3 linked regions of the Rattus norvegicus genome follow. The protein of the gene in region 1 interacts with the protein of each later gene in a biochemical or structural test. Links are inferred from orthologs where the notes say so. Each region holds a gene or a part of one and is shown in the gene's direction. Other genes may lie near its edges. The genes, in order: Nfe2l2, Enc1 and Gsk3b.

Evidence for each region.
Region 2: the proteins of Nfe2l2 (region 1) and Enc1 form a complex in vitro, tested with the Homo sapiens proteins (2 studies listed by BioGRID). The link is inferred for Rattus norvegicus from reciprocal best matches to the Homo sapiens genes NFE2L2 and ENC1.
Region 3: of the proteins of Nfe2l2 (region 1) and Gsk3b, one has a biochemical effect on the other in vitro, tested with the Homo sapiens proteins (2 studies listed by BioGRID). The link is inferred for Rattus norvegicus from reciprocal best matches to the Homo sapiens genes NFE2L2 and GSK3B.

Annotation. Positions count from the first base shown.
Region 1 is NC_086021.1:81,001,393-81,005,140, reverse strand, and holds the end of Nfe2l2 (nuclear factor erythroid 2-related factor 2), read left to right. Parts: coding exon 1-127; intron 128-756; coding exon 757-846; intron 847-1,408; coding exon 1,409-1,597; intron 1,598-1,938; coding exon 1,939-3,162; 3' UTR 3,163-3,612; downstream 3,613-3,748.
Region 2 is NC_086020.1:30,284,061-30,287,808, forward strand, and holds the start of Enc1 (ectoderm-neural cortex protein 1), read left to right. Parts: upstream 1-1,213; 5' UTR 1,214-1,498; intron 1,499-2,743; exon of another isoform or gene 2,744-3,009; intron 3,010-3,748. UniProt on the Homo sapiens protein: Actin-binding protein involved in the regulation of neuronal process formation and in differentiation of neural crest cells.
Region 3 is NC_086029.1:76,150,534-76,154,281, reverse strand, and holds the start of Gsk3b (glycogen synthase kinase-3 beta), read left to right. Parts: upstream 1-1,032; 5' UTR 1,033-1,171; coding exon 1,172-1,259; intron 1,260-3,748. UniProt on the Homo sapiens protein: Constitutively active protein kinase that acts as a negative regulator in the hormonal control of glucose homeostasis, Wnt signaling and regulation of transcription factors and microtubules, by phosphorylating and inactivating glycogen synthase (GYS1 or GYS2), EIF2B, CTNNB1/beta-catenin, APC, AXIN1, DPYSL2/CRMP2, JUN, NFATC1/NFATC, MAPT/TAU and MACF1.

The DNA of each region.
Region 1 (3,748 bases):
CCAGAAGGAACAGGAGAAGGCCTTTTTCGCTCAGTTACAACTGGATGAAGAGACCGGAGAATTCCTCCCAATTCAGCCAGCCCAGCACATCCAGACAGACACCAGTGGATCTGTCAGCTACTCCCAGGTACACTTGGTTCTGGTGGGGTCTGAGGAAAACTCGACTGAGAAAGCAGACCATCGGATTTGAGCTCTTGGTCTGCCATTTGTGAGGATATTAAGTTCCCAAGCTTAGCTTCCCGATGAATTGAGTACCTGAGCTCCTTTGAGAATTCTTTCGATGATCAGGATACAATACAGATCATGGGGCATACTTTGTGAGTTACAGAATCATCCTCTTGGGAGGGAGGAGACCATGGCAGACGTTCTGTTGGTAGGAGGAGTGGGCATTGTTCACTGCTGTGGCAGGCGTGACCTGAATTGTATGAGTAACTGATGTAGCTGTGTCAAGTACAATTCCCATGCTATATGTTGATAAACAACTAAAGCTCACAAGGGTTAAATCATTTGCCTAGATCACTCAAAAATGAAGGGAGTTTATTGCCTAGCACAGAGCCCTGGGTTCGGTCCCCTAGCACAGTTTATTAAAGGGACTAATGATTTGAACACAAGTGATCTGGTTTGAATCTGTAAAACAAATTGATTTCTGAAATGAGTTCATAGGTTATTTTATGAACAGCTCTTAATGCTAGTCATGACCCCTGGGTTTAGAACATTTAACAAATGATGTTCCTTTGTGCCTTTCCCTTACTCCAGGTTGCCCACATTCCCAAACAAGATGCCTTGTACTTTGAAGACTGTATGCAGCTTTTGGCAGAGACATTCCCATTTGTAGATGACCATGAGGTATAAAAATGTTTGCTTAATAGCAAAACTGTCTTTTCTGGAATTAGTCCCTTTCATGTGTATCCAATTGAGAGAATAAAAGAAAATTTTAGAAGGAAAAAGTTGATCAAAGAAATTATCAAATAAACTGTATCAGATATCTATAAAACATTTAAAAATAAGACCTGCTAAATACTAAACGACAAGTCCATTTTACTGGATAGCTAGAAACATGAATCAGAATAATTTAACTGGAAAAATGGATATAGGTATATAAAATATTTTGTCTAGTAAAGAGCAACTATTAATCCGTACTTGGATTAAAAATCTTAATCTGTTGTTTGAAGCACTTTGCTAAATATTATGGGTACAAATTAAGTCGTAAGGAATGTTTTTATCCATTTTGAAGTCTACCTTTAAGCACATGGAGTGATATAATAGTGGATAAATGTGGAGACATTGGGGGGGAAGAAATGTTTCATTTTATAAAAGCAACCATTAGTAACCTGAGAGCTGCAGCCCCTGCCGCTGTCTGTTCTACAGGTCTTTGCTCTCACTCATGTAAATACCTTGTCAATCTTAGGTTTCTTCACCTACATTTCAGTCGCTTGCCCTGGATATTCCCAGCCACGTTGAGAGCTCAGTCTTCACCACCCCTGATCAGGCTCAGTCACTCGATAGCTCTCTGGAGACGGCCATGACTGATTTAAGCAGCATACAGCAGGACATGGAGCAAGTTTGGCAGGAGCTATTTTCCATTCCCGAGTTACAGGTGAGAGAGCTCGATGAGTGTGCTGTCCTCTATGGGCCTTTTAAATTAGTCATCCTGGTTATTTATTATTGACATGCTACCTACTCAAAGGAAGAAACTGATGGTGCATTTATATTACTTAGGAGAGCTTCCCAAACTCACTTAACACACAGAGTTTTTAATTAATCAGACTGAATATTTCAGGACAAATTCACTCTAAGACTGAAAGCTAATTTAGAGTTCTGACAACCATAAAATACTTATCTGTTGAAAATGGGAGTTATCGGGATTATTGAAAAGAAGACCTTGGATTTGGGAGTGGGGAACTGATCTAAAGCATTCAATGTGACCTTCTTTTCTAGTGTCTTAATACGGAAAACAAGCAGCAGGCTGAGACTACCACTGTCCCCAGCCCAGAGGCCACACTGACAGAGATGGACAGCAATTACCATTTTTACTCATCGATCCCCTCACTGGAAAAAGAAGTGGACAGCTGTAGTCCACATTTCCTTCATGGTTTTGAGGATTCTTTTAGTAGCATCCTCTCCACGGATGATGCCAGCCAGCTGAACTCCTTAGACTCAAATCCCACCTTGAACACAGATTTCGGTGATGAATTTTACTCTGCTTTCCTAGCAGAGCCCAGTGGCGGTGGCAGCATGCCTTCCTCTGCTGCCATTAGTCAGTCGCTCTCTGAACTTCTGGGCGGGCCCATTGAGGGCTGTGATCTGTCCCTGTGTAAAGCTTTCAACCAGAAGCACACTGAAGGCACGGTGGAGTTCAATGACTCTGACTCCGGCATTTCGCTGAACACAAGTCCCAGCCGAGCATCCCCAGAGCACTCTGTGGAGTCTTCCATTTACGGAGACCCACCGCCTGGGTTCAGTGACTCGGAAATGGAAGAGCTAGACAGTGCCCCTGGAAGTGTCAAACAGAATGGACCTAAAGCACAGCCAACACATTCTTCTGGGGATACAGTACAGCCTCTGTCGCCAGCTCAAGGGCACAGTGCTGCTGTGCACGAATCCCAGTGTGAAAATACAACAAAAAAAGAAGTACCTGTGAGTCCTGGTCATCAAAAAGTCCCATTCACAAAAGACAAACATTCAAGCCGATTAGAGGCTCATCTCACAAGAGATGAGCTTAGGGCAAAAGCTCTCCATATTCCATTCCCTGTTGAAAAAATCATTAATCTCCCTGTTGATGACTTCAATGAAATGATGTCCAAGGAGCAATTCAACGAAGCTCAGCTTGCATTAATTCGAGATATACGCAGGAGAGGGAAGAATAAAGTTGCCGCTCAGAACTGTAGGAAAAGGAAGCTGGAAAACATTGTAGAGCTGGAGCAAGACTTGGGCCACTTAAAAGACGAGAGAGAAAAACTACTCAGAGAAAAGGGAGAAAACGACAGAAACCTCCATCTTCTGAAAAGAAAACTCAGCACTTTGTATCTGGAAGTCTTCAGCATGTTACGTGATGAGGATGGGAAACCTTACTCTCCCAGTGAGTACTCTCTGCAGCAGACCAGAGATGGCAACGTGTTCCTTGTTCCCAAGAGCAAGAAGCCAGATACAAAGAAAAACTAGGTTCGGGAGGATGGAGCCTTTTCTGAGCTAGTGTTTGTTTTGTACGGCTAAAACTTCCTACTGTGATGTGAAATGCAGAAACACTTTATAAGTAACTATGCAGAATTATAGCCAAAGCTAGTGTAGAAATAATATGAAACTTTACAAAGCATTAAAGTCTCAATGTTGAATCAGTTTCATTTTAACTCTCAAGTTAATTTCTTGGGCACCATTTGGGCTAGTTTCTGTGTAAGTGTAAATACTACAGAACTTATTTATACTGTTCTCATTTGTTACAGTCATAGACTTATATGACATCTGGCTAAAAGCAAACTATTGAAAACTAACCAAACCACTATACTTTTTTATATACTGTATGAACAAGAAATGACATTTTTATATTAAATTGTTTAGCTCTGATAAAAATTAAAAGGAGCTAGCACTAATAAAGGAATATCATGACTTAAATTACTCTGGATTGTTTGAGTTAATTCCCAGTAGTGTTTTCCATAGGACAGTTATCCACCTACCACATTTGCTTATTTTACATTTTCAGAATGGTTTTGAAAATACACAAGCGGGTTGGGGATTTAACTCAGTGGTAGAG
Region 2 (3,748 bases), on another chromosome or scaffold:
TGCGGAGTAAGAGCCAACTCAAAAGTGGCGTTTTAGCTCCCAGCCAAATGCCCTGGCACAAAGAGTCAGAAATGAGAGTCATAAACAGTTGTGGCTACATGAATTGATTTTTTTTTCGAATACTCTCGAGGCTTTACGGTGTGTGTGTGTGTGTGTGTGTGTGTGTGTGTGTGTGTGTGTGTGTGTGGTGGGGTACTATTTCTTGACTGAGCTCCAAAATCCACCAACCAACAAAACCCAAGAAAGGCCGAGTCTCGAGGTGACTGAGACGCCTTCCCTACCAGGAGGAGGCAGCGTGACTGCTCCTTGGAGGAGTTTGCTTTGAATCTAGCGGCCCTGGCGATTGGTTGCGAAACACGTGGGCCCGCAGGACCCAGCCGGGGTTGCTGTGGCTCCAGCTCCGAGCGAGGCAGAGTCCTGTCGCGGGTTCCTCACCAATTTGGGGTGGGGAAGGCAGACACCCGGCAAGAGCCTGGAGTAGAAGTCTGGCTTCTTGCCAGCAAGTAACCCAAAGTCCACTTGCTCGACCCGCAGTGTCCCCAAGGTCCAAACCAGGGCTTCTTCCCTTGCTCCAGCGGGAACGAGGCTCTGCCTGCGGTTGGGGGATCTAACCCAATGAGTGGCTGTGCTTGCCGGTGCGTGGGACCCCCGGCCTGGCCTTGACTATTCCACTGAGCATTCTTAGGTTCCCCGCACCCTTGAGCACAGGAAAGCTCCCAGGGCTGCTTTCCCCTGCAGTGGACGCCCCAGCCCCCGACCCAGCCTTGAATAGGGTTGACCCGGAGAGGCGAAGGTCCTCGGAGCCCCTCAAACTTATTTTCTTCGCGGTCCCCAGGGGCTGCAGCTGCCCGTAGCTGAGCTAGGGCGTCCGCTTTGTCTCCGTTCACTCCCCGCCCCACTTCCCTGGTTCCTCTCCGGCAAACTCCCCCCGACAGCCCCCACCTCCAGCCCCCAGCTCCTCCCGCTCCAGCCCGCAGCGTGGACGCGCTTCCTCCCTCCTCCCACTAGCGAGTCTCTTTGCATACGCGCCCCCTCCCGGGCGCAACTTATAGCCCGGCGCACGGTGGCCCGGCGCAGTCTGCTCCCGCAGCCTCAGAGCGGTCGGCGCGACGGAGGCGCTGCAGAGACCCAGAGCCGACGCCAGGCGGCCGCCAGCGCTCCCGCCGCAGCCCGGCTCCCTCCCACTGCGTGCAGCCCGCCTTCCTTAGCGGCGCGGCCGCCGCAGGCTCACTCTCCCCTGGCTAGGCGAGCGCCCGCAGACGCTTGGCCCGGCCGGGGCGCCAGGTCCGTAGCTGCTGATCGGGAGACCGAGATCAGCTGCCTGCCGGAGCCGGCCTGAGAGCCACTACCCGGGACGCCATCGCCTCCCTTCCCGGCGCTCTTTTCTCCCCGGCGATCGCCACCGCTTCCTGGAACAGAGACGCCTTTCTTCGGCTCCCTGCGGGTGACCGAGGCAAGAACCCCAGCCGGTTGTGTGCGGAGGCCAGTCGCCACTACTGTAAGTTTGCCCTGCAACCCCAAACCTGTTGCGGGCGCCCGGGTTTCGGGGGTTGGGAGGTCTGCCGCAGGGTGTGCTTGCGAGCACCGAGCCGGCGCCGGCCACCCTGGCTGTGGCTTAAGCCCAGGAGGTGCTCTCGAGGCAGAACTGTGGCTGGTGTGAGACAGCACTGGGAGAGCGACTTGCCTCTCCTCTGCAGTGTAACGCCCGGGCAAGTCTCGGTGTGTGCGAGGAGCCAGGTTGGGGGATGTTATTACCCCGGCTCCCAGCAGCCTTCAGGCAGCCCAGAGCGTGGGATCGGTTCCCCAGGGTGCCTCGTAGCCGGTTCCGGGGGACGGTGGGGGCCATGCCCAGACCTCCTCATGCGGGCACTTGACTTCAGCCAAATGAATGAAAACTGGTTCCTGAAAAACGAGTTTCCTCTCCTGCAAGCTTTTGCCTTTTAGAATGACATTAATTTCAAAGGCTAGGAATTGGTGGGCGGGGTGGAGATGAAACGGTGAACTTGGACTTGTAATTTGGTGTCGCCCTCACTGGCATGTCCAGCGTGTTAAATAGCGTTGCAAGTGTTGTAGGGGACTGTGGCGAAGAGCTATTTTTGTAAACATCTTTATAGTGTGGTTCCATTGTTGTCAATAATGTGAATGCTGGAGAACATCTGCCTGGTGTCTTTTCTCGTGGGATTGAGATCAAGCTTCAAACCAGGAGAGAGACGGAGGTGCTCCCAGTGTTGGAGGCAGACATCATGCGTGTGAACAGGAGTAAATGAGCCGAAGTTACTGAACTAGATGCCCTTTTGATGTTCACAGTAATAGTCTTTTTCTCTGCCTTCTTTGTAGATGCAAGTTAAGTATATATGTGCGTTTGGGGGACCATTTCCTTAGCATTCAGACTTATGTCTCTGGGGGCTTTAAAAAATGTTGGGAAGAACGATTCATTTTATGTTTAAGGTGTGTTTAGAAAAGGTATACATTATTTCTGTGGCTATTTTGATGTTTGCGTGCTTCTAAACCAGGGAGCACATTGTCTCCCTTGGGTCTTCAAGTGCACCTTTTGTTTTAATCATACAGTGGTTGCAAGATGAGAAATTGTGACCGTGACATCCCTTTCCTGTGGGATGGGGTCCAAGGTGATAGGGTAGACAGTGCCTTCTGGTTTTCGGGGGGGGGGGGCTTAGAAAACACAGACGCAGCAGCGTGTTGCACGTCTTGTAGGTCTTCTAGACAAACTGTTTTCTTAAGTATACACCTGGTTGTAGTTGTTTTATACCACCCTGACTCTCTAGCCCTGTGGGATTCCAGCTCAGCCTGCTAGCACTTAGATGCTTGTGTTCCTGGCGTTCCTTTCTTGGCTCGCAGCCCGAGAGGAGGCAGCTTCCATAGAGTAGACAATCATTTAGAGGTTTAGGCTTAAAATCTTCCTCAGAATAACTCAGACTGAACTGCACTCATTTAAATGGCATCACAGTGGTAAAGCAAGCAGGCTGCAAGTTCATGGGCTCTGAACACTTGGTAAGCTTAATGTATTCACAGAGGATGCCTCTAATGGGTCATTCTTCAGAACTTTCTACATGGGGTTAAGCTGGGCTTCGCTTGAGGTAGGATTGGTGCTTGAGATAGGGGTGATGCTTGGGTCCTCCTCATCTTCCTACCTACTGGAAATTTCTGGGTGCTTGCAAAGGTTTTGTAACACTGGAGCTTTGTAACTTTGATGCTTTCTTAGTTCTCTTTGGCCTTGTTTACTCATCGTGAAAGGTAACATTCCAAAAGCAGAGGAAAACAAGTTACCTCACCTAAAGACATGGGCGAATGTCCGGGCAAACACCTACCTTTGTTACTTTTCTCAGTGCCGACTTTCACAGCTGCTGGGGGTGGAGGGATGCAGTTATATAGCTCATGAATCTGGTAAGTCATCTATATTTATTAATAATTCCTGGAGTATAAATAAAAAGGTCTGAATGACTGAAGGAAGAGCAGGGTTTCAGCTGTGCTGTAAGTTCTGGCTGTTTGGGTCAGAAAAGGTAACAGTAGCTAACTACAAGGTCTGTCCCCCTGGCATAAGCAACCTCTGGAATCCTGAGGGGCAGGTTCTTAAGGCTTTATCTTCTGTTAGAGCCCTAGAAGAGTGCTGTCAGAAGGGGGAGTTAATTCCATTTTTCAAGATGGACAGTGGACATAGTCCACCTTATTGGCCCCCAGTTTTCTTACAGCAGATACTCAAAAAAGATAGCATTAGATTCCACTGATGCTA
Region 3 (3,748 bases), on another chromosome or scaffold:
AAGCTGGCGGGCGCGGGCTCGGCGAGCGATTCCCAGACGCCTGTTACGCGGGCGGCGGGGCGCTGGGCGGTGTAAGGCTGGGTGGGGGAGGAAGGAGGCGGAGGACGAGTAGGAAGGGGGAGGGGGGAGTGGGGAAGGGCTAGGCGACTGCGCAGACGGCGCGCCTCGCACAGAGCAGCCCCCGACCCGGCCGAATGCGGGCTTGTGTCGCCGCCGTCGCCGCCGCCTGGGCCGAGTGACAAAGGAAGGAAGGCAGCGAGGAGGAGCCGTCCCTGCAGCCGCTGACAGGGCTTCGGGCTCGGGGCACAGCGCGGACACTTCCCGAGCAGCCGCTCAGCAGAGGCGAGGGGCGGAGGCCGGCCGTGCCGGGGCCGCGGACGGGGGAGGGGACCCCGAGGGACGGAAGCGGTTGCCTGGTTCCCATGTCCCCGGCGTATGGGGAGCAGTCAGGGAGCCGCTGCCTGGGGTCTGAAGGGAGCTGCCTCCGCCGCCGCTGCCGCCATGGCCGCTGGATCCAGCCACCGCCTGCAGCTGCTCCTGGCGCAATGAGGAGAGGAGCCGCCGCCGCCACCGCCCGCCACTGACTCGCGACTGCGCTGCCCTCCGATTCACCCGGCCGCCGCCGCCGTCAGACCGCCGGATCCCTCTGCTGCCGGAGCCGCAGCGTTTGCCGTCGCATCTCCGAGCCATCTCCTCCCTCCTTCCCATCCCCCTTCTCTTCAAGCGTGAGGCTCGTGATCCTTCCGCCGCTTCCCTTCTTCATTGACTCGGAAAAAAATCCCCGAGGAAAATATAATACTCAGAGTACTTATTTTCAATCAAGTATTTGCCCTCGTTCACGTGATATATATATATTTTTTAAGGATTCCACTCCACCCTTTTTCTCCTCTCCCAGGAAAGGGAGGTGAAAGAATTATATTTTCCCCCCAGCTCTAAATCATCTATGTGTTAAATATCCGTACCGATCTGTCTTGAAGAAATACATAGCTCCTTTTTTTTTTCTTCTTAAATAGCTATACAAAAGGAGTGAAAGGCCAAGAGAACGAAGTCTTTTTTTTTTTTTTCTTGCGGGAGAACTTAATGCTGCATTTATTATTAACCTAGTACCCTAACATAAAACAAAAGGAAGAAAAGGATTAAGGAAGGAAAAGGTGAATCGAGAAGAGCCATCATGTCGGGGCGACCGAGAACCACCTCCTTTGCGGAGAGCTGCAAGCCAGTGCAGCAGCCTTCAGCTTTTGGTAGCATGAAAGTTAGCAGTGAGTATCGATTTTATTTTACACCCTTTCTCCACCTCACCATTAAGATAAGAAACCTCGAAATACCAGGATCTAAACTAACAGACCTGATAGAACAGTCAGTCAGCCAGTGGTAGTGGAAAAGGGCAAAACCTGTCTTGACTCAAGATGAGGCAGCTCCTTTTTCTCCTCCCATACCCATACCCCCCTCCCCCAGCCTCATTAACCTTGAATTGAGAGAATATTAGTTTTATTTGGCTGATTGGATTCGAAACTTATTTTCTTACGTTCTCCGTGCTGTTGGTAGTCAGTCTTTTCAAGTGCCCCAGTGCCTCCGGGTTAAGCGGTGGAAGCTTTCGCTTGCCCATCCCTTTGAATAAAGAGGACAACGCTTGATTAATAAACCATGATGTACATTTGCCGAGTCCGTGTCTTCTGGAATGAGGGGGTTTATTTTAGTTAGCTCAGGTTATCACGGGTCTGCATTCTAAATAGAGATACTAAATGCCCCAGCCTCCTAATATTTCCTTTTTGCCTGTGTGACTACACAAAGTATTTTTGAATCTGGGGAGGAACTTGCTTGGTAACCCACATTCCCGTTGGAGGCGAGCTAGTATCCATCCCTCACTCTTCTCCGGGCTGGTGGGAGCTGAGAAATATCCCGCAGCAGATGCATCTCTGAGTGCATTGTTTTTAATTTTTAAGTGGTTTAATGTGTTATCTCTTAACCTTCCTGTTTTGACATTACCAATCTGCCACCATATAATTTGTGTAATCAAAAGGTAACTTGGAGATTCAACTTTTGATTGAGGTTGTATTGCCATATTGCCAAATACTAAGTTAAGTGTTGTCACTGACTGTCATTTAAGTTTAATTTTGAAGTGGTGTTGCATTTATTACTTGTTAATTTTTTTTTTAAAGAGTACAAGTGGATACCTTTTTAGGCTGATTTAAAATGTATCTATGAGTATCTGTCAGTCTTTTGCTGGGGAATCTGTGCTGAAAAAAAAAAAAAGTCTGTGTTCTTGAAGTGTTTGGTATACCGAGTATCCAGTGTTCAAATGTATCTATTTGTGGAGATGTTTATGTGGTATTTCATGACAGCTTATTAGAACATAGTTGCAGATTCTGGCCAAAATATCTATGGTATTTTCCTTATTCCTTGAGAAAGAAGAGGGAGGAGATAGATAAAACTGTTTTGTGGCTGAGAGGAGCTGCTGTAACTGAAGAACTAAGATTTTTAAAAAGTTAAAATGCATGTGCTGTTATGTGCAATTGATTAAGCAACTGGGAGTGAGGAATCCTCCAGTTGCACGCAGGATTGTTATGTGCAATTGATTAAGCAACTGGGAGTGAGGAATCCTCCAGCTGCATGCAGGATTGCAGTTCTGTAGGCTTTTGGACCTTGTCTGGAACAGAGAAGTCCAAAGTTGTATCCAGAGCGATAGCTGAGTGGGAGAGATTTTTGCAAGTTAACTTTTTTCTTTCCTTCAGTGAGTGACTAGCCAATTTAGAACGCAGGGCATGTTAAGAGGGAAGCTGATTTCACATCTTTCAGGGAAGGGTCATGCTTTCTAAGCACTTTATGGAGTCATTTGAAAGGAATTTTAAAAAATGCTAGGGTCATTTTCAGTGATGATGAAGTAGACTTCATGGTAACTACTGAAGAGCCTTTCATGGTACTTCAGTATTTGTGCTTTGACTAGTTTAAAAAAAAAAAAAACCCAGTCAATTTTAGACCATTTATGAGGTTTATTTCAGAGATCTGTAATGCCAGACTAAAATACCAAAGTTGGGAATTTCTCTTCTTGTTTCCAGGATTTTCTTTGAAAACAACTTAGCCTTGATAGAGTTTCTTTAGGGTGGAGGAAATCCCAGAGGAATATAGTTTAAAGTGTTTTAATTTTATATTTACCATATCAGTCAACATTAAAAAGATGCTAATTATTACTATTTTTTTTTTAAAAATAACCTTGATATTAAGGACACATAGATGAAAGAGGAATTTGTTAGGGTGCTGGTGTTCAAAAAGGCATGTATGACATTAAGTCCTTGTTCCCAGAGCCTCTGATGTAAAGGCATACACATTCAGAAAAGGGCGAAGGCGATAAGCCTGATAACCGCAGTATTATAAAACGCCAAGTGAACCATTTGTTCAGAGGGACACAGGAAAAGGGTGATGAGGAAGGAGCAGGGAGGTTTCCGCAGAGGTGCTTCTTAAAACAGGTGCTGGCTAAGTCCATGAGCCTGTGGAGACACAAGCAGTGCACTGGGTAGAAGGCAGGCCCAGCCAGTCTGTTCTGTATGGGAGGTAAGGTGGTATATCTCAATTACCCCAGCCTACACGGGAGAACCGGGACGTGGGAGCTGAGGCTTAGAGGAAAGTAAGTTAATAAAGGGCAGAAAAGGCCTGTAGGTTCGGGTGGGGATCTAGGAGCTATCTGTCTGCACTAACTGTGCATTGCTGAACAAGACGTTCTGAAGGGATTTGGATAGCTGAAGGGAGAGAC